Lepisosteus oculatus: one gene and its partner. The protein of the gene in region 2 binds, or shares a complex with, the protein of the main gene of each other region. Links are inferred from orthologs where the notes say so. Each region holds a gene or a part of one and is shown on either strand. Other genes may lie near its edges. The genes, in order: cnn1b and itpr1b.

Evidence for each region.
Region 1: itpr1b (region 2) and cnn1b share a complex: the UniProt entries of both Homo sapiens proteins name them as parts of the cGMP kinase signaling complex. The link is inferred for Lepisosteus oculatus from reciprocal best matches to the Homo sapiens genes ITPR1 and CNN1.

What each region holds. Positions count from the first base shown.
Region 1 is NC_090706.1:17,294,512-17,311,126, forward strand, and holds the start of cnn1b (calponin-1), read right to left. Parts: upstream 8,700-16,615; 5' UTR 8,492-8,699; coding exon 8,432-8,491; intron 529-8,431; coding exon 407-528; intron 1-406. UniProt on the Homo sapiens protein: Thin filament-associated protein that is implicated in the regulation and modulation of smooth muscle contraction. It is capable of binding to actin, calmodulin and tropomyosin. The interaction of calponin with actin inhibits the actomyosin Mg-ATPase activity.
Region 2 is NC_090699.1:54,880,767-54,897,696, forward strand, and holds the start of itpr1b (inositol 1,4,5-trisphosphate-gated calcium channel ITPR1), read right to left. Parts: upstream 7,836-16,930; 5' UTR 7,612-7,835; intron 1,785-7,611; 5' UTR 1,764-1,784; coding exon 1,672-1,763; intron 1-1,671. Other genes in the region: sumf1 (formylglycine-generating enzyme), read left to right, coding at 8,659-8,949, 10,211-10,384, 11,672-11,746. UniProt on the Homo sapiens protein: Inositol 1,4,5-trisphosphate-gated calcium channel that, upon inositol 1,4,5-trisphosphate binding, mediates calcium release from the endoplasmic reticulum (ER).

The DNA of each region.
Region 1 (16,615 bases), on a different chromosome or scaffold from region 2:
TTTCAATGTCACCTTGCAACGATTACGAGCCTCTGTTTGGAATTTTTCTAAGGTCTGACACCATTGCTAACCAGCAGCAGAGAGTTCCCCTTAGCTACACCTGAACTTAAACACTCCCTGCCATTCTCGGGACAAATTTCACTTCTCCTACTCATCCCACGAACTTACTGCAATCCCCTCCTTTTCTCCATTTAATTAACGCAACCTCCCATTCTGTTGGAATGTTCTCTATTTATTGAATTTTGTTTTCAGAATGAAGGATTTTACTCTTTAGGAGCAAATTTTGCACCCTCACCACCCTCTTGGAAAGTAACACTCGGCTCCAGGGGTATTTGGTATGAAATGGCCCTTAACTTGGAACGATTTGTTTGTGCGGTTTTGAGGTACACCAGTCTCCCCTACTCACTCGCACAAGATGACTCCCTCCTTCAGGCTTTCCATGAAGTTGTCCCCGATCCTCCGACCCGTCACCTCCTCGATCCAGAGGCGCAGCTCCTCCTCCTTCTGGGGGTCATACTTCTGGGCCAGCTGGGGTGACAAAGGTCAAGGGTCAAAGGGAATTCAGAAAGAAAATCCGTGGAGTGCCCTGTGCAGTCTTTGTCAAAACAAAATTAAACCTGGTGCCAGAACCTTTTTCTTCTGCAAGATGCTGGTGACCAAACAAGATGTCACAATTCATAACTATAATCCTCTTTTCCCAGTTAGGCTTAAATCTAAAACACATCATTCTTACTCCTCCTGAGTTAACAGCTTTGCCTTGGAGGCTGAGCTACTGTGAATAACCAGGGATGTAATCCTGTATCATCACTGGGCTTAAGATCAGTGCTTCCCAGCTCTGCTACTGGAGGAACAGTCTGCTAGGTTTCATTCCACCCAGGAACTACATCTGCAAAATTATTTAAATAGTTATTTCAGACTAAGCAGCTCTTACTGGTTGATCAATTGATTGAGACATGGGTTGGAATGACACCCATAATGAGAAGTTTTTATGTCTGCTGCGGTGCAATTGGTTACATTTCAGGTACCACCCCTGATTGAGGGCAGTGCTGAAACTCAGAAATCGGTACAAGGTTTATACCAATTACAAGCCCCATCTGACCTCTGGAGAGCTGAAAACCAACATGCAAATCTGCCCCAAACACACAGATAAAATAAATTAGCCTGTGATGAACTCAGCTAAAGCAAAACCTAGAATAGTGTTCCTCCAGGATCCAGGCTTTGGATTACAGAACCTGGCCCTGAGAGACCCTAGACCTTGAGGACTTCTTCTTCAAATCCTAGTGCTTCACAGATCGCCTAACAAACTCTTGAAAGTGAGTGCCCAGCGAGTGGAGCAAAGGCTCGGAGCACTGTGGTCCAGACTGTCCAGATCTAGGCTGGGCGATGTCCTTAACTAGCTGATACCAGGAACCCCCCGGCTGCCTAGTGCTGCTGGGATGGGCTAGGCTGCTTGATGAGGGGGAACCTCAGTTCGCCCTGCCACAGTGACCCTGAAGCCCTCCACAGTGGACAGTGGGGTAACGCCCTGCTGGTGCCACCTCACCCAAAAGGCACTGAGGAGCTGACCTCCCATCTGATTGCAGGTGGGCAAACAGTGGGCACAGGTTGGCAAACAGTCTTCATCCTGCTGGTGCCGATTCAGAGCTTGTGACAGCGAGTGCACCTATTCCAAACTGGTAAGTTCGGGATATCCCCCCAAAAATGGCAGTTCTTATTGATAAAAATAAAAAATCTGAAAATGCAACAAAGAGAACCAAACACCCTGTGACATTCGCTCAGCGCGAAGCGTGGTCTGCTCTTCCTCGTTGCCGCACGAGACCCCCATTAATATTTTGAAGTTGGCAGTCACCCCCAGCCCCTCCTCCCTCCGGTGATGCTTTTAAAATTCCTCCCTTTTTTTTCTTCTGACGGGGGAAGAGCACAGCCAACACAAACAGGTAGTCCAAAATCCCAACTGCACAATCCAACACACCAAACTTGGGAGAAACAGCTCCTGGCTGCAGCCCGGCTCATCAAAAACCTGGCCTTTTACAGCTAAACAAAACTCCCAGCTCTCCACTGCTGCCAAGCGCGTCTGCTGTTGTAATCTGCACTCGCAACCAACAGAGTTTTTCCAGTTACAACCAAGGGCGGGGGGGCTTTCACGGTCAGAGAAATTCAATCAGATTCCTTTGATCCAGCTTCTTTGAAGCAGATGGGCTCGGAAAACACCCCTCCCCTTCCTATTCCAGCCATCTTTAAAAAGAGCAGATGTATTTTTTTTTTACTTGATAAAAAAACCCCAAACACAATACTGTAACGACTGCCATTGGTTAAACGGCTCAGAGCACCGCCCCGTCCTTCATACATTTGGCTGTTAGTGGGCTCAAGACTTAATTGCCATTCACTCATTTCTTGTGCTGTTGAACCACGAAGGAAACAAGTATTTGACCTCAAGTGGTTTGTTACCTTACAACAGAGCTGCAGGACTGTTTCTTACAACACAGTCCGGGACGTCCTAACTCGTGCTGGTCTGCGCTCCAGTCCAGCTCTCAGCTGCACAATTAAACCCTTAATTGACTTAATAATAGGTTTCATGATCGTTTCCAGCTCTTACAACATGTTGGTGTTGTATTTTTTTTTTCTGCATTTCCAAAGCAAATAAAAATGTAAAACTTGCAAATCCAATCAATTAACTCATTGCTTCAATTAAGCGATTAGGTTCGGTTGGAATGGAAATCAGCAAAGCAGGTGTTTGTCTGGGACCAGAACTAGGAGTCTCCAATGTTGTGTGCACGCTCTGGGAAGGAAATAAAAAGGTCTGATGGCGACAACGTATGGCCAAGCAAACGATACAAGAGCTACATTTGAACATTAGGCTGAAGAATACCCAGTTCACGTTAGATCTGCAGATAGGAAGTGATGGGGTGAGGGCACATTTCCAGCTGCCTCATCTCTGCAGAGGCAGGTAAAGGGGTCTGATCTATGATCGACGCCCGCAATCCACAGTCCTTCTGCAACGCTGAGTGTTCAATCTCAATCAAGGGGGAATTCCAGGCTCCAGCATGTTCCAAACTGTTTACACCAGGTCACAGCTTAAAAGCTTCAGCCGAGTACGCCGATTCCTTATAAGGCGCCCGATGGGGCCGAGCACCTGCTGGCCTGGGACCCATCAGAGAGACAGCGGGACGCAGCCAGCTGGCTTCCTAGGGGAGAGAGACTCGGCACTGATGCGGGGGTGTGCACAGAGCCCCTGGCTGTACAGAACCTGGGTTCTGTGGTCGCTGATGTTGCTTTACCAGCAAGGACAAAGATGACGAAAAAGACTACAGACTCTTCGTTTTGATGTCTCCCTTACTCCTTCCTACCAAAGGTAATGGGTGGGAGGGATCATTAAAGGACAAATGCTGCTGGAAAAGGCAGAGGTCAGAGGCTGAGAACTGGAATTCCTAGTATGAATAGAATAGAAAACTATGAATGATAACTCGGATGCTGCTAAGGCACAAGGATCTGGGTCTAGCATGGCTGGATCCTGCAGATATTAATATAGGGGGGCTCAGACGGTCAAGTCCTGGATAGTCGGGAACCCTCGGATATCTCATAGCCGATTTACTTCATCACCACATGCATCACCATAGCTGTGATGTGTCTATCCTGGCTTGGAGGGTTTTTAATTAAATCAAAAACTGATTATGCCCTGTAAATAATAAATGTATATAGCGCCATTAAAAAATGGCTTCGCAAAGTGCTTTACAGAAAAAAAAGATACATAATGAGAGGAGACAGTAGAATTACAATTACAATTAGTGTTTGGAATACAGTGGGAAAGTAATGGGGCAGACAGAACCAGTTACATAAAAGCCCTTCTAAAGATGGTTTTGGGTTTTGATAAACTTCCAGAGCTTTAGGGCATAGCAGGAGAAGGCACTGGCACCCACAGAGTGTAGACAGACTTGGAGGACATATAGGAGTCCAGAATTAGAAGAATGAAGGTTGCAAAGCTAGGAATAGGATGATACTAACAAACAGGTACTAGACAAGAGCCTTATAAGTAGACATGAGGATTTTGAAGTTAATCTGAAATCTGACGGGAAGCCAGTGCAAACACTCTAGAATAAGACTAACATGATCACTTGCACCAGACCTGGTCAGGATTCTGGCTGCTGAATTCCAGACATACATTACTATAGCTTGTTCACTGTGGATTTAAAAACCCCAGCGAGTAGGGAGCTACAGTAATCATTTCCAGAGAAGATGAAAGCGTTGATCAGCCTTTCAGCAACAGTTAGCAACAATAAAGGATGTTAGTCTGGCGATATCCCACCTCAGAATAGCTATAAATGACCTTTAGAAAAATCCTATACATATCAAACAAGAAAACAATGAAAAAGAAATGCACTAGGACCTCTAAGAATTAAATTTGAGATATCCGTTTTATAGATTTTTAACCCATCATTTACATGTGATAAATGTTTTAAATAAATACAAATTCAGGGTGCAAAGCTGGCCATGGGCCCTTGAGGAGGAAATGCTTGGAGGTCTTGACCCGATGGTATGGATAATGGTATACATCTTTTACGTATTGAATTAGTCCTGGACAGCATGCCGCAGTGCAGCCTCACAGCTTTCGGGTCCTGGCTGTGATTCCAGGGGCCTTCTGTTTGAGGTCTGCATAATCTACCCTCACTTTCCAAGGGTTTTCAACAGAGGGTTCTTAATTGTCACCTTCATTGTGGTCTTCTGATGGACTGATGCCCCCCTGATATCAGTGTACAAGAGGTCATGCTCTCAGTTCTGCCTTGTCCCCTGTGCTTCAGGGATCAGTGTATCTGCTTTTATCCAGCATCACCTGTAGACACCAGTCAGTATAGAACAGCTCACAAAAATTGATTTTAAATCTTCTCTGAAGGATGCAGCTCAAGAAAGCTTGAGAACTTGCCAAGGGTCAATGGACAGAACCCAAGTCTGGGCTCTTTCAGCTCTCAGTGACCCCTGCCTCCTCTCAGGTGCCTGGAGGAATGCAGTGCTTTCAGTGATGGACTCTCTTCCAATGAGCAGTGGTCCTCCGTCACTGGGCGGGGCTGCCTGTGACATGCTCATTGGCGAGTGGTTCAAAGGTGGGCGGTTACAAGAGTCTTGGCTCTTCCAGGTGTGCATAAAGAATTTTTAAAAGATGCATCCCGTGATCAGAAATGGTTATCTAGAAAGCATCTGCCCAAGAGGCACCTTCCAGTTAAAAGCAACAGCACATCACATTTGCAAGGGCCCTGTGCAACTTCGGTAGAATAACTCAACTTTCATATAGCAAGGGCTATTTTAATAGCTCTAGCTAAGCAGACCAGATTCTTAAAGTAAAGAGTTACTTAACAGATGGCTACATACCACAACACACCAACCTGTTGACTCTGTTGACAACCTGTTGACAGAGTCAACCTGTTGACTCTGTTGGTCAGAGTCAACAGGTGATAATGTAAGAGATAAAGGGCATCAAAAAGTCAGCTTCTGTGACAGAGTGCACAGAATCTGTAGTTATGCAGACAGTATAAGATGGCCAGTGTGTTTGAGGACTGTAGCCTACTTTTTCAATGGATTCTTACTTGTTAATGTTTGTTATAAACAACCTTATGCAATTAAGATGCTGCTATGTTGTAATACCCCCTATCCCATCCATGTTTTGAATTTGTTTGAGAAGCTCCTTGCAATTAAATTGATAATTTCTGCAGGAAGACACAAGCATCACCCATATCTCTGAGGTAGTGGTGCATGTATAGAGGGGACCCCAACATCCTCAATCTCCTGGAGGATCTGTGTTAGGGAACACCCTGAAATGCATTAACTTTCGTCTTTATTCCAACGTTCCTGATTCTTAATTAACTTGTCTGAAATTTGCAAAAACGAACCCAACTTCATTGTTCCAAAAAAACTGAACATTTCTAAATGCTACTCCAATAATACCGTGGGTAAAGATGATAAAATTAGTTTGAAAGAGAAATTGTTTATTTTTCATTCACCTGTAATGAAAGTGCAATATGCCCCCGCCCCCCAAGGCGGCAAAAAAAAAAAATCAAGAAAAGGTCAGGCCACCCGATGAACATCCCATCCCAGACATTGCCGACTGTTTCCAGTATCAATCCGAGCATGTTCTTGCCATTCATTTTCTCCACCACTGCACGCCTGGTCCTGGACCAGTGGCACTGGTAGATACTGCCTGGAGACTGGACCCTACACTCCAGAGGTACAGTCACTCGACCCTAGACCACAGGCCTCAAGACTCGTGTTCCAACAGCGCCTGTGCTCTCTCATCCCTCACCTACTCTTACACTTTACTGCACAGACTGTTTCAAATCTCAACCTGGCGATGCAACATGTTAATTGTGCTTCTTCACCATGGGCACAAGTATGTACTTGACAATGTGGATACCATGTAGTACTGGGAACACCCTGCTTCATGTTGTTTTTATTTTACTTTTTGTACCACTATACCCTTGTACTTACACATAATATAATTTTTCTGCACTGCATGTTCACCAGAGTAAAAGCATGTACTAGGTAATTAAATGATTAAATAGGATTGTGCTGGCCAATATTGCATTTCTGATTTAAAATTGGACTATTGAGTTGAGACAAGTCCAATAATGTCGTGTTTTACCATCAGTATAAATGGGCCTTGATAAAAGCACACAAAAAATCTCTCTTGGCTGTTCTTTGTCCTAGGGAACCCATTCCCTCCTCCAAAACTTATTTTCGGTTACACAACCTCACAACTAATTGGTAGAAGAACATGACCTTTATGTAGAAAGCACATCAAAGGTAATAGATTTATAATATGTACAGAATATAGAAAGGTCAAGTTCCTACCGCTGGATCAAACATGCAGGTCAGGGGTGCCCAACCACTAACCCAGAGGCCCAGAGCAGATGCTGGATTCTTATCTTAATGACCCGAATCAGCTCGTTAGCATCTTAATTGGGCCAATTGAACAGCTTCTCCCAGCTCTTCAGGCACTGCCGATTTAACCAGACCTAGAAGACCAGCTGACACTGGACACCATTTCCCCAGAGGGCCTTCATACTAACTGTGGAATTGGGAGACCTGCTAAAAATCAGCTGAGATTTTCCAGACACCTTTATAAAGAAGATGGGGAAATTCAGAACCATCTGACCGTCCAGCACGTGTCACACTTGTATTTCTAGCTCTAGGAGTATTTCCAGCCAATTTAATCATATCATTTATTCCCAACAGCTGCTGGGCCCGAGACAGGGCTGCGTGGACAATGTCGGATTATACCGACTCTTCCAGCTTCTGAGGAAATTAAATTCCTCCTGTTGATGTCAACAGACCCACAGCAATTAAAGTGGGGGCACTTCTCGATTTAAAGGAAGTAATTTACCCTGTATCCTTTTGTTACCATCTTCGCTGGGACATTCTCAGGTCTGTGCACCGATACTTGACCGTACAGAAGCAGTTAGCGTTAGTCCTGTGCATGAGTCTCAGTGAGAGATCGGTCTGGATTCTACTTTGGTCTCTTCTACCAACCCAGTGGATACCTCCCACCTGGGGCTTACTTTACACAGAAAAGGAAAGAGCTGTGAGGCGTTAAGCTGTGAAAACTTCAAGATGAAGAGAACGTCCAACGCCTTCCTCATCGGTTAATTAAGACCCGAGACCCAGTGTACTGCGGAGAAAGCAAAGCTTGTCCAAGTATCAAAGAGCGGGTTTCTATCAGACGTCTCCAAAAAAAAAATAATCGGCTCCCCTCGTTATCTCAAACAGAGGACGAAGCTATTTTTCTATCCCACTTGGAAATGTAATCTCAGCTGTCGGTCTTGACTCATGAAATAACTGTTAAATACTTTATACAGTACGTCCCCAGCACCGAATTATCGCACTGAGAGCGTGTGGCGAAAGAGCGATCACCGACTGGACATCAAAGAACCGTCACTCGACATCAGCATCACCTGAGTCGCTTACTAATCGAGCTAGAAACAAAAAAACATCGCTTGAAAACAACAGGGTTTTTTTTTTTAAACAAGCAGTTCGAATCCCTGTTTCCCTGTAGTCTTTGTAGGTGCATTAAGTTAATGATGGGGAGCTCTACAATCGCCAGTATGCGCGCTTCTTTAAACGGTGGTATACACCAGCACATGTTAACAGGTGTCTTTAGATCACGTTGGGGTTATTTTAACCCGTCAAAATTCAAGGTTTTTTGGTGGGGTCTGTCCCCCTCCCAGCTAAGTTGTGCATGAGCAATAAAAATAGATTTAGAACCGATGTTACCGATTTATTTATTTATGCGCTCTGTGCCGTGTGCATGACAAGCTACTGGTAATCTAAATTTTGATAGAATCGCAGTGGACTGGAGTTGTCTCCCTAATTCTATTAAACGTTTCTAGAGAACATGCTGTTTGTGATGTGAAATATCCACTCAGAGCAACATGTATATAAATCCTACCTTGTTTTTCACTTCGGCCGAAAGTCCATACGCAGGTCCTCTGACGAAATGTCCTGACATGTTTCGTTCACAGTCGATTTAAAAACAAAAAGGAGAAATAGAACAGATTTTGAACAGCAAAATTACAAAACCGTCCGCTCTGCCGCAGTGAAGCTTCACGGGGGTGCGTGGAAGACTTCCTCGTCTCGGTCGCTGTCGTTTTCCCCACTTTAGTTCCCTTTGGAAAAGTTTTGGACCACTTTCCAAAACCTTTCTTTCTGTTTTAAACTCTTCCCATCTGTGTGTCTGCGGGCCTCGCTGCGATTGGCCCAGGACCTGTCCAATCGCAGCGGCCTACTGCTTCTCAGTGATGTCAGCGGGATGGCATTAGGACGGAATCGTGTCACGTTTTCCACCTATGGTGGACTTTGAAGATGCTATCGTTCTGTAGTACATTCATTGTAATACCCCTCTACGTTTTATCAAAACTATTTTTGGAACGATCGTCAACACAAATAAGGCAATCGGTGGCAAATCAAAAAACAATACAATCATTTGTGACCTTTTAGATACGATCATCAGACCGCATTCACTAAACATTCAGCATCAGGCTAAGTTAATCTTCCTCTCGAATGAGAAATAAGCAGTTGACATTCACCTTTTAAAGAAGAGGACCTTTTAATTCATTAGCCCCCAACTGGGAAGTAACAGATTGCGATAAATGGAAAACAGGTTGGGGAAGAGTTTCCCCCTTCTCCCCAGAATCATTATTTTCAGAATGTGTGGTCAAATCAAGAGAATAAGGTGCCTTTTCAATATGCCCAAGGCACTAGTGCACAAATAGGTCCTCAAATTCTTTTCAATATTGTTATTCCTTATTATAGAGCGCTAACAAGGGCTCTCTATCATGAAAGAATGCAAAACCACTTTATCTGTAAGAGGGGACCACTGTATTCATCACTGAAGTGCAGCTTCCTCCTGGGTGATGTGTCCTACTGTCCAGAACAGTGTTGTGGGATCTTTAAAGCCCAAGGGCCTCAACTGCACGGCACGTCCTATAACACGTCTATATATTGTCCTGCTGCCATACTGGATCATTGTATGGGATTTCTGATCCAGGGGGAAGACTGCCACCTGCTGGCCCACCAACACTTACAGTGGACCCGAGTTTCCATTACAGGGCTCTGGCCCTTGTAGTTGCTGAGCTTCCAAGGTCTGACAGCCTCCTGGTTAGAAGGCGTTGACGCTACCGTCACGAGATTCTCACTACAGTAATACCTCATTCAAGGACAAACCACACAGGTTTTTAGGTGCGTCAGCACTGGGGACATTTGAAACAGATCACAGAGCATTTCTTACATGCTAGGGCTCAGATTAACAAGGGTACCAGGAGTAAAAGATAACCATTGGGTTAATTAAACCAACACCACTGTTTCATTGCAATGGCTCATCCAATTAAAATCAATCCATTGACCTTGCCAGGCCATTTCCCCAGTAAACTATTCCTTTCCTTTTCTTTCAGCATTCCCTTCTGCTATGGAATGAAGAGCATTCATAAAGATTTTAAAGTTAATTTCACCTCCAATAGGCAATGATCTGAATTATCAATGTACGTTTTGTTCAAATATTTTAACTCCTGTACTTAAAACTCAACTCTCCAATAATAGGGCACTAGGAGGACTTGTGCAGCCAGAGAGCAAGAGATCACATCATGCCCTGCTCACCGGTCTAGTTGAACAAGTTTCAGATCTGAAGTCTGACCTTGAGAAGGACTGTTTGAACTTGTATAGGTGGGTCCCAGCAGTCAGATACTGGAGTCCTGCACTGGGACCCGACAGCCCTGCAGTCTGGCATGATAAGTCTCTTTTCACATTACAGAATCTGACCTGCTCACACAACTACAAATGTATGAATCTTTGGCTCAACATGAAAACTAAAATGTGCTCAAGAGACCAAAATTAAATGCCTATACATTGCTACTACTGTATTACTAAACATAATGCAGTACTTTAGTATAGTTCAATCATATCCAACAGTGACCCCTGGAACTCAGTGCTATCTCTCCTTTCATAACCACTAAGTATTTTTCCATCAGTCCGATTTTTTTGATAAATCTAGACTTTATGACATTGCACCAATCAGAGCATCACTACAAAGATATCCACAGATGTCTTAAAACCCACTAGAAAAGAAACACTGGCATGATGAGACTGTTATGAAGGAGCTGTATAACTATTGCCAAGTAGAAACTGAAACTGAGGATGGCTTTACACAAAGAGTTGCAGCTGGTTGGAACCAATAACAGTCCTGTTGTCAAAGCCGGCTTGCTTTTTGACAGGATGCTGGGAACAATTAGCTAATTGCATCCAAGAATGAGAAACAGGGGGAGGGAGTGGAGATTCTTCTTAAAAGGAACCTTGAAGTAAAACAAAGCGATTTCTACTTGTCAGGCACAGCACCTCCAAAACACCAGGCTGGTCCACCTTCTAGATGGGGGGTTCAGTGCTGTGGCTCCAGCACAGAACTAGCACTGGTGTGTAAACCGCTCACTGGGGACAAAGCACAGCTTCCAGACCAGGCTTAGCTGCCAGATCCAGCAATTCCACATGATGTCACAGGGTTGGGAACAATGAACTCGTTTTCCTATTTTACACACGTGTGTCGTTCTGGAAGCCCGGGAAATGGAATGTTAAGTGATGGGCCCTGCGAGAAGCTCACAGAGGCATGAATCACTGGCAGTTTTTTTACGTGGGAATCATCTGGATACAATGTACTCTGCAGACAAGCCATGTTTTCTGGAATCAGGAACAAACAAAAAGCACTTTTATTTTTAAATGGACTGTTAATTGGAAGATTGAATGAATTTCAAGTTTTAGAACAGCCATACTCATTAATGAGAACACAGAGGTATAATTAAGGGCAACTGACCATAAGAAATAGTTTGCGAGCACAGAGAAGGTGGGTAGATGAAGAGGGGCGAGAAAGAAGTACAGTGCCTTCCATTTTTACAAAGATGCACAATCAGGATCAGAAGAACCAGGAACCTGACAATAGGATCCATTTCAGGGGGCAGCCTTCATGGGTCACAATTCACCATCATCACTGATGTATGAAGACCTAGAGCTACTGTTAGATTTTGACATATCCAGTATTAGTTTAAGAAAGCCATCAGGGCATATCCAGTCTCAGGATGCTACAAGGCATCAGTTATAAAGGCTTGCTTGCCAAATGTCCCCTTAATGTCTTTGCTTAACCCATTACCTGGAATTCCCCAGGAATTCCCCAGGAATTCAATGGCTCCATGTCCCTATGGAGCTGCGGATTTGGTGGTGGTCCTGCGACAGCTGCTGGAATGGGGATCCAGGGGTCCACATACAACTCTGCTCAGTCACCAGGAGGAAAGTTTAAAAAAAAAGCCCAACATCACCAGGAAAGATCCCCGCAGCTCCTGAACCTACAGTGGAATGCCGCACTGGAAGAGTGAAATGAATGGAACCATAGTGTAATATGTGTACAGTATTAAGATGTATTAAGAGCTCCATGTTTTTAGAACTCACAAGAAGGAAAGAGGGGCACAGTGGTGACATCACAGCACTGGGATCAATTCTGGACCTGCGGTGCCATCTGTGTGGAGTTTGTATGTTCTGTGTTCACACAGGTTTCCTCCAGGTGCTTCAGTTTCCGCCCACACTCCAAAACCATACTAGTAGGTTAATTGGCTTCTGGGAAAAGTGGCCCTGGTGTGAGTGTGTTTTTGTCGGTGTGCACCCTGCATGGGACTAGTGACTTGTCCAGGGTCCTGCCTTTCGCCTGTTGCTTGCTGGGATAGGCTCTAGCTCCCCCACACAGTGTAGTGGATAAATCGCCACAAGGAGATTGAAGGATTCCCTCAGTGTGAGCACGAGTTAGGGGCAGATCTGTGGCTACACGACTAAGGACTGTCTGAATTTCAGTGGCAGACACCAGCTCAGTGCACAAAGCCAGCCCATCCCAAGCAAACACGACTGCTAATTGCAATGCAATTGAGGGCTTCTGAAGTCAATTGCTGAGAGCTGTGTTTACTGTACTTGGCTTCTGAGTTTACAGAGATGGGAAGTGGGTGGGTTTTTTTTAAGAGGCTTCTCTGTTTTAAATTAAAACTAACAATGGTGGGGTTTTTTTTATTAGCTTCTGCGGGAACAGGCTGGGTTTATTGGTTACACAGATCACTACCCTGCCAATATTGTCTGGCTGTGTAAAAGAGCAATTCTAATCCCAGTCCTGAAAGCGTCAGGTCAGAATTTCCACTTGCCTGCGTTTCCCTGTTGAGCTTGGATGCAGCTCCTCGCGTGGGGTTTTTTTTTTTCTTTTTTAACCTTTTCAAAATCTGGAACTGAACCTCATAGGCAGGTCCTTCTTTTCAAGACTAAAGAGGTTTTGCCGCTTTATTCTGTGTGTATGTGTGGGGGCATTCAGAGCCCCCCACGTGTGTAAGATCTCCATTTGGACTGGACTGAGTCAGTCCAGCTGATCTAAAATCAAAGGTGTGCGAACTCCAACACAATGTGCCAAACTGCTGGAAGTGCTTTAGTCATCACCCGTTTTCCAGACCGAAAAAATGTCATGCAAGTAGTGCGTCAATTAAGCAATTAAGTGCTCAGCTGGCATCAGGGGACCCCGCCGCCCTCAGATAAAGAGAGGAGGGCATCCTGGTTCTCAAGCGGTGACACCACATGGTCGGTAAAGACTTTGCGGAATTCTCGGAAGTTCGAGGGCACAAATAAAAGGTTTTGGGTTTTCTAATTTGTGTCATTTTAAGTTTACCAGTTGTCCTCCTTTCCCAAAATAGCACATGAGCAAAAAAAAAAAGTTACCAAGTCGGGTTTTATAAATCAGAGGAGAACTATAGCTACATCACACTTGGCCCTGCTGAAAGTAACTGTCTATTTATAGGAAGAGCCGGACGAAGCTGCTATATGAAGTGTGTCATCTCATAGCGGGTGAAGGTGCAACTCGGAATGTGATATTTGCGTGTAAATGGACCCTGTCGTGCGCTCTTCGTGCTGTAGCTTTAATAAAAACACGGTTTAAGCTCTCAGTGAGTGGCGTTACTGGGTCGGCTTTACTTTCGCATTCTTTTGGGGCAGAAAAAGCGGCACAGACGCGGTCGTAGCTTTGCCTTATAAGTCCGCCTGGGATAACTTCAGTGCGCACTGACAACAAAGTGATTCCCTACTTTATATAATAAAACCCGGCCAAAGGGGAGCGATTTCATCTCCGGGGTGGATATTGTGCCGTTTTACTCAAGAGAGAGGCAGGGGGAGGGAGGGAGCGCGAGAAAGAGCAAGCGGAGGTCTTGTAAACATTTTGGAAAATGCCAAACAAGAGGAATGCGGAGGCTTTATTTGGGCATGTGGGGTACTTGCAGCCAAATAACGCTGCCTGCAAAAGCGCTTGGATCGCAATGTCGTCTCGGCTGCCAGAAAGAAATATTCCAGACAGAGGGAAGATTCGCGCACCTTCTATAAGCAGAAAGGTGCGACATCTCGGTGCTTTAACGCTCTCGGGCACTTCTACTACTGACCGACTTTTCTTTCATGCAATTTTAACTGTTCATTCACAGACTTCCAAATTAGGTCTATACTACACGTAGTATAAATACACTAGAACATACAATAGATACTGAATGACGTGTTGTTACACTTTATGTACCGTTCAGAAACCGCTTTGATGTGTCATTTACAGGCATCAGCTAATTCAAACTAGATATACAGCAATATTATTGTTAATCTGCAAGAACTGTACAGGTCTGAGAAGATACTGAGAAAATTCGTATTTTGTACTGCGACAATTCAGTTAAAATTTCTTCCCTGCCCGCAAACCAGCCACGAGAAGGATTTCAATATGACGAAGACCTGTTATACACTATACAGTAGATACTCTGTGTTCAGGAGGTACGTTTCGGTATTTTGGAAACAGTAGAAAAACAGTATTTTTTATCAGACTACGAGCCAAACGAAGAGAAAGTTGAAGCACATGACCAGCTGCAGTTGGATAGGCAAAGGCTGTGCTCAATATGCCTTGCACCACTACCGGTTTTGTAGAGCGCTGAACAGGTCGAAAGGTTTCGTACGGTCAGCGCACAAGTCACGCGGACCGCCGAATCCGCAGCACTGCTAATTAATGACAGAACTAATTAAGCAGTGATGCGAAGACCTGCTTTGACGAGTCAGCGATAATTTATCCAAGAATGACTACAACAATTCCCCAGGGCCGCTGTCAGATCGGAGTACCCCAAATCAGAGTTTTAAAACAGTTTCAGGCTGACGAACTGTTTAAGCGCCCGAGTCATTGTTTCATTCAACAGGATAAAAGTGGTTATTGTTATCAGGGCGGTAGGCGGGCAGCTCGATTTTTAACCGCCGTGTTTACACCCACATGAGTCCTAGAAATTCTGCTCAGAGCAGTGTTTAAAGTTATTAAATAACTATCACACCGGCCGTAATTAACACGCAGAGTGGACGAGTGGACGCAGAGTGGTATGGGCTTGAAGATGCATATCATGTCTTTCTCTTGACACCCACACCCTTTTGTGCAAAGACGTGCCACACCATCTGTACCGAGAAGGGTCGTAGTTCCTCTCCCACCTTCATACTTCCCGTAATGCCTCACCGTTGACCCGGAAAAAGCCCACTGGACTTGTCTGCAAGGATGTAGAAAACCAGTTTCATGCACCCTTATACTGAATTTAGGTACATAAAAGTTAAGAAGTACTTAAGGATATAATACCAAGGTCAATTAATATTAATAGAACTTTATACAGTGCTTTTAAATAGCACTATCAATATTCAGTTCCTTTGACTTTTGAGCTGGTCATTCCTTTAAGCCACTGGTTCCAAGTCCTGGTGACCGCCATCCATGCTGCTTTGTGCTCCAGTTGAGCCCTCAGTTACACAATCAACCCCTTCATTGACTATTAAGGTTAATGTGAATGGTTTTAAAGCTCCACCATATTTGTTCCCAGCTTTCACCCACCGTATTTTCAAAATGAAATAAAATTCAAAGGAACAAAAGGCAAATTTTAATTAAAGCAACTTCTTCGCTCAAGCAAGGCTTCAGGTTTCTAACGAAGGTGGGATGGAATGAACACCAACAGGTGTGGGGGTCACCAGGAACAGGACTGGGCACAACTGCTTTAAGCACAAGAATGTACTCCTGCTCTCCAGTGCAGCTTTCTTCTGCAATGCAGTTACCAGTGACTCCAAATGAGGCCTTACTAGGGCACTGTAACATTTTAACAGAACCTCCCTTGATTGATCAGCAGCCATTTCACCCTACAACTCACAACTGGCAGCCCACTGGAGCTCAGTAGGTGTGAGCCTGGTCAGTACCTGGATGGGAGACCTCCTGGGAAAAACTAAGGTTGCTGCTGGAAGTGTTGTTAATGGGGCCAGCAGGGGGCGCTCACCCTGCAGTCTATGTGGTCCTAATGCCCCAGTATAGTGACGGGGACACTATACTGTAAACCGGCGCCGTCCTTCGGATGAGATGTAAAACCGAGGTCCTGACTCGGTGTGGTCATTAAAACCCCAGGGCTTTTCTCAAAATAGTAGGGGTGTAACCCCGGCATCCTGACCAAATTTCCAATTGGCCCTTATCAATCATGGCCTCCTAATAATCCCCGTCTATGAATCTCTCCTCTATGAGTGCTCTGCTCCCCACTGATAGCTGGTGTGTGGTGAGCATTCTGGCGCACTATGGCTGCCATCGCATCATCCTGGTGGGGCTGCACATTGGTGGTGAAGGAGATCCCCATTACCTGTAAAGCAGGTCCAGAAAAGCGCTATATAAGTGTAAGCAATTGTTATTATTATTGATTTAAGTGAGCAGCTCCTCTCTCACACACCTGCTGGTTTTGTTCCATCTAAGCTCTCCATTAAACAACGAAACCCCTAATAGGACTTAATAATCGGAATAATTTAAAGTGTTTGACTGCTTTCAGCTTTGAAACACGTTGGAGGTTGCCTCTCATTTCATATGTAAAATAAGACCCCAAACTTCTTAGTACACAAACAAATCCTTGCACATATTCCAGTCAAGCAACATGTTAGTTCAATTAAGGCTGGAATGAAAAAACACGTGTGTGGGTCTCAAGGATGAGGATTGGGAAGTCCTGATTTAAAATAAAACACTTCTGACCACAGGCTAATCTTTGCTTTTGCCTTC
Region 2 (16,930 bases):
TAAAACCATTAATAATTAGGACATATAACTGCTGTTAATGGTAAATCTAACCTTCACAAAGTTTCAAAAATATTTAAAGTTGAAGCTCTTGATTATCATTAGAGTGGCAAGCATGTTATAACTGTGAAAAGAGCACTGTTCTTTCTTTGTGATATATGTTGACTAAACAAACTATTTTGCTGTTTAGTTAATCAATTTATCCATGTGATTTTTCTACGCATTCCTGGGGAAATAATGATTGAGTATGCCAGGTCTATCCAGGGTCTGACTGAGGGCTTACAAACAGCAGCTGAACAATCCAGAAGTTTATTCACTTTCACTTGCCAGTCTTTAGAGGTTAGTTCCAAGTAGAGTCGTTTATTGCCATATGTACAAGTACATTGGAATTCTTAATCGCGCTGATCTCTCTGGACATACACAGTACAACAGACAACACTGCACAATGTAGACAGTAATAAATAATAACAATACATATGTTGAGGGGCAATAAATATTTAGTAGTGAGAAAACAAAATGTGGTTTTGGCTGTGGAAAGTGAATGAAGCAGAGAAAAAGATATCTAACATGTTTTGCCCACTTTTAAGGACTTAGTACAAACTCAACTGTTGAATCGCACTGAAATTAAAACATGGCAACTATGTGTGATGGTCAGATGAATAGTAACAATAACCCTATACCAGGGCCTGAGAATTATCCAAAAATCACAATGCCAATCCAGAAACAGAATGCTAGATCTTGCAACTTATTTAAAATGTCTGTTTTTCAATTTTTCAGAAACACAAATCAATTAAAATCAGATAAAATGCAACTGCAAAAGTGCTAGACTGCAATAATACATACAAAACAAAGACTAATTGTCCTATCAATGCAATTGCTTTTTCTCACATTGGTAATATAATGAATCAATGAAGCATGGATGGTGAGGAAGAGAGGCAGCAAAATAACACTTTGAAATCTGCACCTAGTTTAAAATATTAACACAAATATGCTGGAAAAGGCAATGACTTGCTTTTTCAGTTTATGACAACACATGTAAAGCAAATGTCCTGTAAAGGATATAACCTCCCTACACAGCTTCAGATCTTTTCAAAACAATGTGCATGTTGGAGGAAACAATCTGACTAAAGTGTACTGGGCATCATTTGTTTGTGGCTAATGGGTTACAGAGGTGCCTAAATACAGTAAATGCAGTGGAAAGGCAGGACTGAAGACATTTGTATTGACAAAATGGAAGTTTTTCAGTGAAGCAAAGCTTATTTTTTTATGTCCTTCAGAAATTCGTCTAACATGAGGCGCTGCCACCAACATCATGTTAATCCAAACCACAGACCAATATATTACAATGTTTAAAACACAATCTGTTGGATAGCTTTGAAATAGGATAAATATTTATAGACAAATTCATATAGCTATTTGAAGCCTAATGAGCTCTAAGGTTTTACAAGGTCTCTTCACAGATCATCATCACAAGATCCTCACAGTAATTCCTCTGGCCAAAATCAATTTTAACACAAATTTCAGTTCTTTATCACTGCTGAAAAACTTACTCAAAATGATTCTAACATAAATGATGGAATACTAGGGCACTATTAAATGGGTACTTATGTACATAGAATGGGACCTAATGGCTGTTGACCTTTATTAAGTGCTTTTAAAACATGAACAACTTACCCTAAAGTACTGATAAATCCATTTACTGATCCCTCAGCATACAGAGAGACAATATCTCCAATGTGTAGGAAACTAGACATTTTGTCAGACATTTCTCATTTCCTCCTTCTCTCCTGTAAAAACAAAAACAAAAGCATGATGTTTTAGAAGCATTTCATGAACCAAGAGAAAAAAATAAGACTTTTTCACAGTTTATTTCTCATCAATATTATTCATGAAAGTGAGTTTCCTTATTTGCAAATACTAAAAAAGGTGCAACATGGGAAAATAGCATTATACTGTATTATTTTGTCAATATTATTGACTTATTTGGTAGAACAAACATATGTAAAATGAGAAGACTCTACATCAAAATACTTAAATGAAATACTTTCATCCACAAATAACACCGAAGTAACAAAGACTGCATCTGAAATTACTTGAAAGTCCCTTTAATTACATAATAAAGTAATAAAATACAGAAACTTTCAACAGATGTCCAATTTTCATTTCTTCAGTTTTTCAGTCACTGCAAGGTATAACATATCTCTTTTTAGTAATTGGATCAGATGAATCCCAAATGTCCGGTATACATGGTATGAATTACAAAAACTTTTTGTATTACTACAGAGAATAACAGGACATGTTAGAGACAGGCCATGAAGAAAACATGCAGAAAAGCCTAGAGATAGTAAAACAGGCAGTATTAGAGTCTCTTCCCCTGTATAAGTGCAGTACAGTTTTCAAAGAGGCACAAAGTTAAATGAAAGTTTAATTTCTGCATGATGAACCGAAACCCAAATGATATGCAAGAGCAAATGGAATGGTGTTAAGAAGTTTATTTATTCTTTGAATACATTCATCAAATTTTGCCAAAAAAATGTTTGATAAATCATGATCAATGTGATTCAATGTGCCTAAACAGTAAGTTAAATGTAAGATAGCCACACTGGCAATACTCAGGAAGAACTACCTACTTTTCTAGAGAAAGCCTTTGAAATTCTACATTCCATAAATAAAAGAGTTTAAAAACATGTAGAACATAGAACTATTTAATCTTACGTTCATATACAGCACAAATAAAGAAATAAAATTTAAGACTGCTTTTAAATGGAAGCTGAATATGCAGAAAGCTATTGCACAAACCGATTGTGATTATTATATCGAAGGTTCCTTCCCAAACTTAATGCAGTTCCAGGTACCCTCCTAAAGAATATGAAGCTAAGCAGAACTTACAATGTTATAAAAGACGATAGATATGGTAACAAATGCTTCTAGTACTGGGTCAGCAGTGTGGGGAACTTTATTTTTAACCAAATTTTGTTACCTGTTATAATTCCTGTGTTCATCTTTGTGTATGTGCATGGATATTTTCACACTTTTCCCCATTGTTTACAATGTTATGATAAAAAGACAAAAGTATAGATAGTAGGGACTTTCTCGAATATTCTTGCAGAAAAAAAACCCATCACTTGGACAGGGAATGATATGCTGTCTAAATATAACCACATTAAGGGTTTGAGTTGTTTGGAGAAGTTGTGATTAATAACTTAAGAAATCTAAAAAAATCTTAAAACCTTAATTGTCCTGAGAGTATACTGGGTTGAATACGTTATTTCCCTTGAGAAAACATTCAGACTATTTCTCTGCCAAAACTGAATTCAAAAGAAAACAAATGAAGGTCCTAAGGATATCAAAACCTTCATTCCTTAGTAATGACCAGCTATCACATATTCTTTAAATATCTTTACTGCAAAAAGGCAATAAATTCACAATACACTTCCTAATGTTTTCTAGTCAATCATTCAGTAACATAGGCCAGGAGGATCTCCACAGCTCTGAATTTAACATTCACAAATTTGCTTATTCGTGACTTGGTGTGGCTGTGGAGTGGGATGAAACCAAGCCGAAGGATGTCATGCACAATTTTCAAATTAGACTAATTGTGAGATCAATGTAACTGGTGATTCAGCCTCTCCCTACCCAAGTACCCGACACCCAACACCCGCAACTCAATGGGCTCTTGTTTTTGTATTGTAGAGAACGCTTCTGGTTCTGTGTCGGCAGTGTGCGGAATGACAGACGCAGATTCATGTTGTTTATTTTAGCGGATTACAATTAGGTTTTGCAATGACCATTTGTTTCAATTGATCAATGTTATTTTAACTAACTTTGTCATATATGGAGGGTTACTCCTATCTTTTAACCATATATACTATACACTGGAGCAGATTATGCACCAGTATAGGGGTGGACTTGGTTATATACTAATTTGGCTATTCGTAACAGTTCTATGCGCTGAAACCTCACAAAATGTCAGGACCCCACTGTTACTACGATAAGGTGCATAAGAAAGTGTATTTTAAAACAAGAAAAAAGAGGCACAAAGGGCTTTGGGAGTATGGAACAAGCCACATTGATGAAGACAACACTCTGGTTTCTTCCAAAAAAGGGGCTCAATGTGTTACTGAAATCTATTAGCCAACGCCTGGCAAACAGGCAAGATGGGTCGGATGGCTTCCTCTCCTTTCTTATGTTGTTACATGTATTAAATTACCCAGTGACATCACCAATGTCTGACTATAGTTTACTAGCTCAAAATAATCTTCAAGTAAATAAAACATGAACTGGACCCTGTGTCATAAAATAAACCAAATACACTACAAGCCACTGTACCTTCATATTAACAAATCCATATTGGAGAGCAGACTGTATGCAATCTGAAATGGATATTGCTCAGAAAGACCAAAGGCCTAGCACAGATGTACAGTACATCGCAGGGCTTGAGTCACTGTGTGTGGGAAGACACACATACAACAAAACAAATGTCAGAGACTCCAGCAGGAACTCAGAGGCCAGACTGCCCAGAAACCATTCACTTCCAAAGACCACTTGTAGATATACCGTATAAAACTGCCCCAAGTCTGCCTCCCTAGCAATTCTGGATACAGCACCCTCTGAAAGTGTTGGGACAGTAAAGCCATGGTATTACTTAGCCGTTTCTGCTCTTCCTAGGGTTTCAGCTGCAGTCAAAAACAAAAGGTTTTGAGCCAGAGAAGACTGCTAAATGAGACAGAGAAGAGTCTCTTGAAATCACTGGGATGAATACAAAACATGCTTCTGTTCCATCATCATATGTATTCTTGAAATCACCCAAACATAAAATATCATATTAGACAAATAGATCCTGTCAATGTCATGATTGCAGATTTATTGATTGTACATAAGAAGTTTTGACTGTCGCCTCAATTCATCTGGAGGGCACTGAATGTATTTCAGGAACTCATTTCTGAGAAGAGTAAAACCATAAACAGCAACCTGTTTGACCCTGTTTCAGTGTACCAAACCACACACACACAATTTTTCTCACTGAGAACTGCTGAAATCCAAGGAAGAGCAGAGGGAAGCTAATTGATACCCATTTGCACAAAAACCAGACATCAGCATTCAAACTGCTTCCTGCACTAGATTGCTAGTGATTCTGATTGCATCAGTCTCTTCTAATTCATTCAGGGCTTTATTTTTAGAAGATCAATGTCTCCCTCTACCATTATTCTTTACATTATTCTTTACCCAAGGTAAATTGGTGAAGCCACACTACTGCATGATTTTACAGAATGGATACTTCGGCAGAAGTATGATTACTTCAGCAGTGGCATGAGGTGATGGGAAGAGTTTTATTACCATTAAAATACAGAAAGTATGTTTTTAAAAATTCAGAGAAGAGCAGATATGGGACCTCTAACCTGTCAACTGCTTAAAACCTAAGTTAAAACCTACAAGATAAGGAATTGAAAGCATTGTACTTCTTGTAAAAGTGTGTGGCCTTATTGAAGTCGACCATTAATTGTAAACACAAAAAGAAGCAACTTACATTCAGGAACACAAACTTTGATAAATATTCTCACATAAATGGTGTCCACATTTAAACGTTACCGATCGACTAGAACAGTTTATTTTCATTGCTCAGTGTAAATAAGCACAGTAATTCAACAACACACACTTTGCCTTCATACTTTCCCATCTGTACCCAAATGCACAGAAATGAACAAATGATCTGTGCCTGATTCTAAGATGACAGCCCACTCACCCACTCAAGACTCAGATGTTTTTTCATTACTTCTACCAAGGCAGCCACAATCGCTATACAGTGTTGGACATAAATGCAACAAGTGACTTAATTAGAAGACACTGAATAGAGCATTCGGTGCTCTAAAAAAGAACTGTGTCGCAGTATACAGAGGTCAGTCCACTTATGCATCACTAGTTACTGGGGAGCTACTCAAAGAAATTGAATTGTCCGTTTAAAAATATCAAACTGGTTTCAGCAGACATTAATGCTGGGAATGTTTTGATGTCGTTTATTCATTGATTGTTTGCTTTGTTTCTGACACTTTTTGTTTTCTCCATTTCTTTTTTAGCCAAAAGGTCATTGAAGAACACACAAAAGAACACATATATAATTTACCTGTGTTGAAGGCTATGACCAAGACTGCTCAATATACTATAGTACATCAGCGACACAGTGAATGTTTTGTCTATCAAATTAATCTGATTGCGTCGTTCAATTTTCAAACAAGAGCCAACCATTTACAAAACTAGGCGCATTACAAATTTGAAAAAAGAAATCAAAATACCACAGTTCACTAATTTCCCAATGACACAAAAACAATGAATTTGGGCATTCATATTTATTTAGTAATGTCATTATCCTCCTCCTTACTTAAAGCTATTATCATCAAAACACTGTATTTAAAATGATATTTTGAGAATGTTAAGGCTGGGAATGACAATGAATCATATCTTCCAATACTATACTTCATTCAAAATATTATACATCAGTTTTAAAGCAGCTTACAACACATTCATATTACAAAGCCACTTTTCCGAATTTTTGTATGGCTACTAACTAGAACCCATAAACGTCCTATAATGTCCACAAAACTTAAAATGCCTTTTAAAGCAGAAAAGCGGATTTATTCTGCAAAACACATGATGTCAGGTCAGCCAACAAGTTCGGAGTATAGGTATGTTACTTCTTCGGATAGACGCTGCTTCCTTCCGTCATATTTTTAATATTATGAAACCACCAGAAAAGTTTTAACATGATTTTTACTCACAATGGCTAATGATTACAAATAACCCAATCTCTTTTCTGTCGTATATTCTGTCACTGAACATATTAAGCTATCCTGGGAACGCGACTAAAAGTTAAGAACAACTCGAACAAAAAAGACCGGTACCGCGCCGGCTTCAGTACGGACACAAAGTATAACAGGGTATTACAATTTTAAAAACGCACATCATATTTCCTGAGGCCTTGTATTCCATGTCCTTCATTTTGAAGCTCTTAAAAGCACAGACATGCGAGTCTTTGCAGTAGAAAATGTAGTAGTATATGTGCCCAGTGGTATGCACTTTTCACTATTCGTTGAATCTTGGGAATGGGGTGTGCTGTGCTGCAAAATCAAATGGTACTGTAGCTACTGCACGCAAAGAATTCCCAATAGTGACGGTGAACGCTAGTTTTTAGAGTTACGAATGCTATCTATTAAATAGAGGACTAAACGTTTTTTTTAAACACGATACGAATACTAAATACTTGCGTTATTAAAGCAAAGCCATAACAGTTCTCCTGAGCGTTACGCATAGCGTAAAAGGATACAATCTTAACAATTCCTCTGATTTTTACTATCACTTAACCATAATGTAATTCTATGCCTATTTTTGATACAACGTAAAAAAACTAAAACGTAATCACTTCCATACAGGATGAACTTGAGTTGAATTCATTAGTGCTTTACGATCAAGAACTCATTCGAACCCCTTAAGAAGTTGACGGTAACAACTCCATTGAAAGCGATCTGAGGTTGCTTGGAGATCACCGACTGAAAGGTGCGTCGTAAATTTAACACATTTAAACGAGAAGTAAATACTAACAACACAGGTTAAGATGCTTGCCTTTTAAAACTGCAGAGATGCATACAACTTTACCTTCGCTCAAGGAAGAGCTGGTCTTGGGAGCTGCAACGCTTCAACCTTAATTAGTGGATGATAATTTTCCAGATCCCGTTTTCCTTTAATTCCATGTTATTTAAACTCCCGTTAGAAAAAAAGAGGCGGATCTTTAAGCGCTTTACCTCCCCTCTTCACTCCGCTCTGCACTACCTCCACATGAGCACTACAAAGCTGCACTTCTTTGCCGATTATTATATATCCGCAGTGAACTATGGGAAATGTTGTTTCATAGATCAACTGATAAGTGAAAGTTGACAGTAAAGAATTACTATTTATAACTACAAATCCCATACTGCCAATTATGTGGAGGAGGAGTTAAAGTAAAGGTACTTGAAGAGTCTATGTAGTTTTATATGAAAGAAGTGAACTTATTTTATCGTGCTCTTTTCGTTCATTTCAGAATTGCAAAACGGACTAAAATTATCCGACATTACACCAAACTATCATATATTAACAAAATTATTTGGTATTTTGAATATATGCGTCTTCCTCGATATTATTCCGAAGTATTCGAAACCAGCCAATCGAAAAATGTATCTTACATTTTAAACTGGGTAATCTTAACTACTAGCATGCAAGCTGCTTCAAGGCAATCCTTTAGTTTCATATGAAACCTAATTTTTCCAAGTTTAATAGTATGTTTTACAAGTCGCGTAAGCAGCTTCAGTTTTTCTGTCAAGTTCAGTCGGAAGAAGAATTCAGTGAGAAGACAACTTCAGCAACAGCACTTTGCTGGGACCTCAGGCACTAAGATTGCCATCTTAGTGTTTTATTTTTTAAATGGTGTTACATCGCTTTATACTGTGTTCACACGTAAGGGAGGAACCCAAAATATAGAACTGATTTTTCAATGCCTTTGCTTTTTTGATTAAAACAATGCTGAACGGACACAAAAAGTCAGCTGACTAGTCATGTGACGCTAAACAACTATGGCTGCACGCACAAAGAAATGATTAAGTCTGAGACTGCAGGACTGAGGAAGTTGTAACGATGTTAGCCTTCTCCGCCTTTGTTTTTTTCTCAATAAATATTTTCTTTGCATCTCACGCCAATGGAGCAGACGAAGAGAGATCAGCGACAACGAGAGCGGAACAGCTTTCTTCTTCTAATTCGGCAGGTCGAAGCTGTGGATGTCAATCTTTGAACAGAGAAGTTGAGACTGCGGACACAGAAAGTCTCTCTTCGTTGTCTGAACAAGCAAGTGCCAAATACGCCAAAGAAGCAAACGAAGAGAAGGCACAAAATGAGGTTAATGCAAAAGCTGCAGCCATTCATAACAAGGTGTGATCGATTACCTAAACATCACGCTATGTTAGATAAAGTTTGGGACAGAAAGTTGCGTTTGGAATTGTGTAACGTTTAACATTGGTTTAATTTATCAGACATGCATCTAAGTGTGATGTTCTGTTTACTTCATTTGAACTTTGTTTTGTTTTGCTATAAAGAGGCTTGCAAACTCAGGTTTAAATCCTATTGCACTACTGCCTAAGATTTTCATCTCACCTATGGTGTATAGTGGTTAAAAGTGAAAGTATGCAACGTCACATACATACAAAACGTCATACAACAGAAACCAAATACAGCGAATCTGCTGTTATACAACGTTTTTAAAAACAAGGTGTCTGGGGTCTTGAATAGTTGTATCAATGCCAGCACTATACCTGTGAATGTTTTTTTTATTGTTATCTAATGTTCACTGTTAAAAAACTGTTTTCAGCTCATGAGACCGTGACATCTCAAGTAAATGTCTGCCGGTATTCTGATTATGGAGCTGTGGTCAATGTTGTGAAGTCTTTTAGGTGTTGTAGTGCTAAAACCGAATTAAAACAACAGATTAACTCACTCAATGTACTTGTGAAATGCTGGGATTGTTCACAAAATGACAGTTTGAGTTTAAACGTTTGGGTCTATCCAGTCATCCAGAACACACGCATGATGAGCTACTTGCATCATACTGGAAGTTATGACTACTGTATGATGGATAATAGATGATGCAATCCAAACATCAGAAATGTAACATATAGGAGGAGAGGATTTAGCACATTGTGCTGATTTGGTTCTATTTAAATTTTTATAGACAGTGCTGGTTGCACTGGCAACAACGTCACTCCTATGAAGTCCCCGAAACTAAAGACACAATTTAGAGAAGTTGGGTGCTGGGGGGAAACTGGAGCATTCAGGGGAAACTCACATGAATGAGGGGGAAAACTCCATCTAGACAGACCTCAAAGCTGGAATGGATCTCGGCACGCTAGTGATATGTGAAGCAGTAGCGTTTACTACCACACCACCATGTCATAATTGACAAGACAGGTGATTCTTTTAAGCAAACCATTTCTTTTTTTTTCCCCCAGGGAATATCACTCTCCGGTATGTAGGGTTTGAAGCTGTCAGTCTTCCTGATACTTAGATCTTAGTCTCAATATCCGAACAGAAATCAATGCAGTGTCCATGACAAGGGCTAGTCGAGTGCAGCGCATTATTATTTACATGTTGTAATCATGGGGCTGTCTTATTTCAGTACTCGCTCTCTTTGCTCTAGATGGTGCTGATCCCAGCGGGGAAGTTCACGATGGGTACAGATGAGCCCGCAATACCTCAGGACGGGGAAGGCCCAGCACGCACAGTGCACATTCAGCAGTTCTACATGGATGTCTATGAAGTCAGCAACTTGGAGTTTGAAAACTTTGTCAACGCCACCGGCTATGTGACAGACGTAAGGTCTCTCCCCTGCCATGGATGCCGTGAAGGAATTAAATGTTTTTTTTCCCAATTGAAATATAGCCTGCCATGGAAACAGAGTCTGTATACAGTAGCCTCCACATGTTTTCATACCCATTATACAGTGTTGCTAAAAGTTCATCCATCTTTTGTTTTTAAGCCCCAGAAAATAAGGGAACCGCCTATCCATTCATGTTCTAGCCAAGTAATAGTGAGCTAATAGTGGACTTTCGGAGACACAGGCCATACACTCACAGCCCACTCAGTATTGATGGAACGGAAGTGGGAACAGTCACCAGCTTTAGGTTTTTGGGAATTCACATCTCTAAAGATCTAACCTGGACTGTGAACACAGCTCTATGAGAACCGCTGCCGTGGTAGAATTCTGGCCATCACAGAGGACAGTCACCACCCCGGGCATGAGCTCTTCACCCCACTTCCCTCAGGCAAGAGATATAAGAGCATACGGACACTTACCACTAGATTCTTCAATAGCTTCTATCCACAAGCAGTGAGACTGGCGAACACAATTAGCCATCCCCCTTGGACCACACCTACACCATCACCATCTACCTCTTTATAATTTCTTATCTATTGCACATCTCCAGTCATTGTTTACACATCTGTATTGTTTACATTCAAACTGTCTACATGTTTACTTGCACATTGTCTTGATGCACTGTTTGCACTTTGTCTTGTTTTTTACACTTGTTTTACAATCGAGAGACGTTCTGTAAGTAAGAATTCCATTGTACCAGTAGCAGTTACATATGGCAATAAAGTTCAAGTTCAAGTATTCTATTTTAGAGTCATGGGGGTGCCAGAGTCTATCCCAGCAAGCAATGGGCACAAGGAAGAACGGGTCTCTAGTCCATTGCGGGGCAGACACACACTCACACCAGGGCCAATTTCCCCAGAAGCCTTACTGGCCAGTATGTTTTTAGGCTGTGGGAGGAAACCGGAGCACCTGAAGGAAACCCACATGAAACACTAGGAACAGATATAAACTCGCATCCCAAGTCTGGATTTGAATCCGGGGCCCCAGCACTTTGATGCAGCAATAGCATCTACTGTACCACCAAGCTACCCCTAAAAGTTAACTGAGCATGAAAATCTAGGTGCGTTTTCAGTTTTTGAGATACAACTGGGAGTCAATTAGTTGATATCTCCGAGCCTCAAAACGATTCCTGTGTGAGGACAGCTGAAACTATTGATTTGTATAAGCTGTGAAATTTATTTGCAAGTGTGCAAGATATATTTCTTAAATGTCTTTTTTTCTCAGGCAGAAAAGTTCGGGGACTCATTTGTGTATGAAGGTTTATTGAGCGAACAAGTAAAGACGCAAATCTCACAAGCAGTAAGTGTTCTACTTCTTGAATTTTCAAACGTGTGTGATGATCATTTGCATGATTACTGTAATTTTAAGAAGAATATATTTTCTTATTAAAAATACAACTGTGGTTAAACTGGAATTCATGCATGAAGATACATAAGGTCATCATTCCACATTTTACCCTCGGTTCACAGGGAGTAAATATTTTAGGTGGTTCTTTGGATCTCAGCATGCAGTATCTAATTTTCTGAACAGGAGTATAATTTCTTAATGAAAATGTTACCTCTTTGTTGAAGTTCAAGATCAGATCCGAGGAATTTAGGTCCATGTTACTAAGACATCAAAGGCTTATGAAATACACTACAGATAGTTCATTATACCCTTTCAAGATTGCAGATATTTAAATGAGGAGTGGAACACAAAATCATTTCTTGGGATGTCTCCAAGAAAGCAAAGTGTTCCACAATACCAAAGCCAGATTCACTCTTATGAGGTTTTATTAACCATTTCAATCTGGTACCAGACCTCTTCTGGTTATATTTTTGTTAAATAAAATAAGTAAATTAGTAAATGCACTGTCAAATGCTTTTTACATATACAAATTCTGTTTCAGTGCCTTTGGGAATTCAGTGACCTACAAAGAGGGGACAGAAATAACTCTGGAATTTTTTGATAGTTTTCCAACATTTCATGCAAGCTTCTTTATCCCAGCGCTACTTATTTATTAATGTTTTATTTACTTATTACATTCATCTAACTTTCACAACAAGTGACACCATGAATTACTGACACTCAGTGTGTCCAGGACAGTAAAGTAGATACTGTATAACCAATGCTTAAAACATCAAACACGTAACAGAAGCAATGGTTACTTGTAAAGTGGTGTTTCTGTAAATGTGTCTCTACAAAGCCATCTTGTTATGTTGATCTCCAAGTAACAAAATAGGTTAATTCCCTTATAAAGATTTGACAAAGTTAAATTGGCTCCTTGTTCAAGTTTATTTTAATTGCATTTTCACTTGTATTTCCCCTTAAGTAAGTGAGGCATTAATTAACCTATTTAAGCAATCTCTCTTTACATATTTGGCAGTCCCCGTCAGTCTGAAGTTTGAAAGATATTTTATTATTGTCTTTATTTATCCATCATCCAAAATAAGTTTAAGAGAAATGCTTTGTATGAATCCAGCCTTTCCTAATGGAAGTGTTATTTGCATGTCATTATATTCCGTTTTCAGTTAAAGACGTTGTCCATAGGTAACAGAATGTTAGGAGAGGTTATTAGCATAGGAACATACTAAAGATATACAGTACAGGAGCAAGTAATAGGTTTATTCCATGCTGGAAAAAAAAAAGAAAGAAAACGCAACATTTCGGCCATGGAGCCTTTTTCAGGTGTGAGGTATAAATAAAGATATACATACAACCAATAGTGAAAAGTGAATATTTCTTTAAATATTTATGCTGTGTATTGTATACATTATAGTATACAGTACACTGTATATTGGACAACTTTGAGTTAAATACGTTTCAATCAAGGAATATATAACCCCAAATGTATATTTTTGCGAAAGTGAATTTGATTTGAGAACATCTTGAATGTATTCCTTTTTAATTGTATTACCCGTAGTTTTATTGTTTTCTATTGCTATCATTATTCTGGCAGACTATTATATTTTTAAATATAATGATCTCTAGATCAGTACTTTAAAGACTATAATCGCTGCCCTCATTGATAGATTTGTTAAAAAATCCAGATTTTCTAATAAACATCGTGACCTTCAATAAGTTGCAATGTTCAAATGCTTTCACAACACTGAGAATTCATAAAGGCTTAGACACACACAGGCGTGTTATTTATCGTCTTGTCACCAGGAACTGCTTAGTGCTGTAAATAGGCTTCATTCATATGTTGATTGCAGAGTTGCAAATCGTTAGAGAGGTAAGGAAGGTGAGGGAAACTGAGGTAAAATTAGCATGAATGGATCCCGTTTTGCAACATTCCAGAAAAAGCCGGCATTAGTTCCACGACTGAGTGCTGCAGATTTTTAATGGTGAGGTATTGAAATGCAAATGTGGAAGAACCATTGACTTCAATCACTGCAGCTGTTGCTTTGAAGTTTGTTCGTTAAATTCCCTTTGCACATTATATTTTTCTTTGGGAAGGTTGTAGTGATGATATCGTTATGGTTTAGTGAGTTTCCCATGGTACCACAAGAGTTCAAGAGGTTATCTTAATGGTCAGTTGCTTTGATTAAATTTAGTGCTGAAACAAATAAGATCGTTTTCTGCACATGGGTGATTTACTTTTTTACTAGTTTGTTATGCTTTAGTCTTCTTACTGTTCCTTCAATAAGAGGTTTTCTGTACAGTTATTTAAGACTAAATCACAAGAAACATATTTGTAGTGAATAAGGTAACTTTTAAGCTGAAGCTAAGGAATTACATATTAACAGCTTTTTGTTAGAAGTTGTCCAAATATTTTCAGAAGGAATATTCTTAGAGGAAATATCAATTATATAAAATAAAAAAAATACAAATGACTACTCTTCAGTTTGCTGTACAGTTTTACACCTCTTGGTTTTGACTGTTATCAAATATCAAATGCTTTATCTGGGGTCACACTTAGGACAAAGAAGAGTTTAATGCTCTTCAAATCAATAACACTGATTTCACATCCACTTCATCCTTTCTCTATTTTATAGTCTTCCCCAGTAAAGTTTAGTGTTCTTCAGGTCAATATACTACAGGAAAGTAGTTCAGGTGGGTAGCTGTGTTAGCATGCATGGCTGCAAAGGCACCTTACACCCGAAGAAGGCTCCACAGCAGAAACGTTGTGTTTTTTTCCTTCTCTTTTCAGCATGGAATACACCTATTACGTGTTCAAATGCTACAGGAAAGTTCATTCATGGTTAAGCTTCAACGTCTTTGCAACATAAGCCCAGTTTTTGAATAAAATAACCCAGTGTATTTTGGAATCAAAGTGTTCTAACATGGGTATCAGGACCAAAGGCTGCACATTTTGTATTATTGGGCAGAATTATTGTTGACTTTTTCAATATGTGCTTCTATACACCGTAGTCCGTTATGAATAAGAGTCCAGTTGGATTTGTATTTTTTTTCCCCACAATGCAGAGAGTTATTTTCCATTAAAGTGCATTTTGTTTGCCATATATTTCAAATAAAGGTAGGATTTAATTAATATTGAAAAGTATGTATTTTGCACATACTATAAAAGCAACTATTGTGGTCATCGTCATCATTACTACAACACCCAACGTACCTTCATTTTTTTCCAAAGTGACTCTAGTGTGTTGAAAAACTAATTCTCTAGTTGAGGATGCCCATAATTTTTGGTATTTATTATATACACGTAAGTATACTCCATTTAATTTTGTAATATGTCTTTTATGGCATTAACGTGTTCCAGAGCAGTTGGAGGTTTGTTTCACTATGACACTCAAAATCGCAATCAGCAACCAGGTGAAGTTATACTGTAAAATCTGTATTGGAGTTCACTGTGCTTTACGCAGTACATTTGACATTGTTAGTTTTAAAACTTCTCTGTAAATTTGGAATATTTTCAGAAAATACGAGCTTGTTTTACAGAGGTAGAAGACTTTGTTCTTTATGTAATGGTGTGGCTTAAAGTAATGTGCTAGCATGCATATCAGTATGTAATCTCTTACAGATGGTGCAGCATCAACACAGTCAGTTACTATGGAGATTGAAGAGGGGGCAGAATTTGGATAAAGTTGTTTTTGGCATGAATACTGCAGTGCGTGCTTGACACTGAGACATGCATAAAACAGTAAGCTTCAAGGCTTTCTTGACTCTTGTGATTGCTAACAAGTGCCACCTCCTTGCTGTCCTAAGAAAAGCCTTTAGGTTCAGTGGGGCTTCAGTTCAACCCATACAGTGTGTTAAGTTTTCTTTATCACACTTTTTAGATCATGTATTAATAAGAGTTCTTTTATAAACAATTACTTTGGCACTGCTTCCAAAAAAAAGAGATTTATACTCTAATCCATTTTTTCAAGGCTAAGCCTTAAAATGGACAGCAAGTGTTTTCTAAAAAAAAGTCGCCCAACATATCCAATCTTGGCAGTATCTACATTACACAACTCAGCTGGCAGTGCATCAAATTTTCCATCAACCCATGTTGGCTCTTAGTTGATGTAAACGTAAAAAGACCTATAAAACTTCTTGTTCCATCTCTAATTGATCTGTTTATTTAAACTCTCAAAATTTTCATGTAGAATGCCTTGGCTTTTGCTCTTATTCATTGAGGTATTAAACTGGAAATGAATGTCAGATGATGAATAAAATCAAACCACTAATTTAAGTGCCCTAAGAAAGGATATGAAGAAAAGAACAATGGAGCTTCATGACAGAAAGTCAAGAAACTGAGCAAATAAAAGACTGTCAATCTTTTCAAATCTTCACTGGGTAGACCAAAAGCAATATGAGGGTGAAAAGGTAATTCAGCTGGAAAAACACTTTACAGTCAGTACACTTAGTGGAACCGCATAGATTTGATATTAATTTTAATTAAGGATTCATAATTGAAAGCCTTCAACAGGTGCAGCAGCCTTTAGATTCTGAAAAAAATCCACATTTCACACTCATTTATCAGAAGGAGATATATTTTTCTTTGTGCCTCATGTTTTCAGCACTAAGCAGTTTCAAGTGCTATAGGTGTGCAAATGCATTTAGGATTTTTTTACCCTTTTACAGAAATGAAGTTGTTAGGCCTTCAATTACAGATTCATGCAGTGAAATCCTATGGGCAGGTATTCAGTATCTAAGAAACCCTCACAGGATGCACAAAATGTCACAGTTTAGTCGTGGCAAGAAATATCAATAATCTTCTTTTAATTAGAATACCTAGGCTATGATTATTGAAGCATTCACTTACAGTAATTCATGATATTTTAATATTCCAGAATATACCATTGCCTATGGTTTAAAATACAGTACCAGGAGCAGAAGGGCCTGCAAGAAATAGTGACTGGCAGAACAGGAGCAGTATCTGAGATGAGGTCAGTGATGAGGCTTGCACGTCACAAACCAGCACACTCTTTTGGCTGTGACCTACTTCTCAGCATATGGGGAAGACTACAGTGCTGTCTCAAATATGTCATCTTTTCCATTTGACAATGCAAAGCAGCGTTATCTGTTTTATTTTTTTGCTGCAGTACATTATGGTGT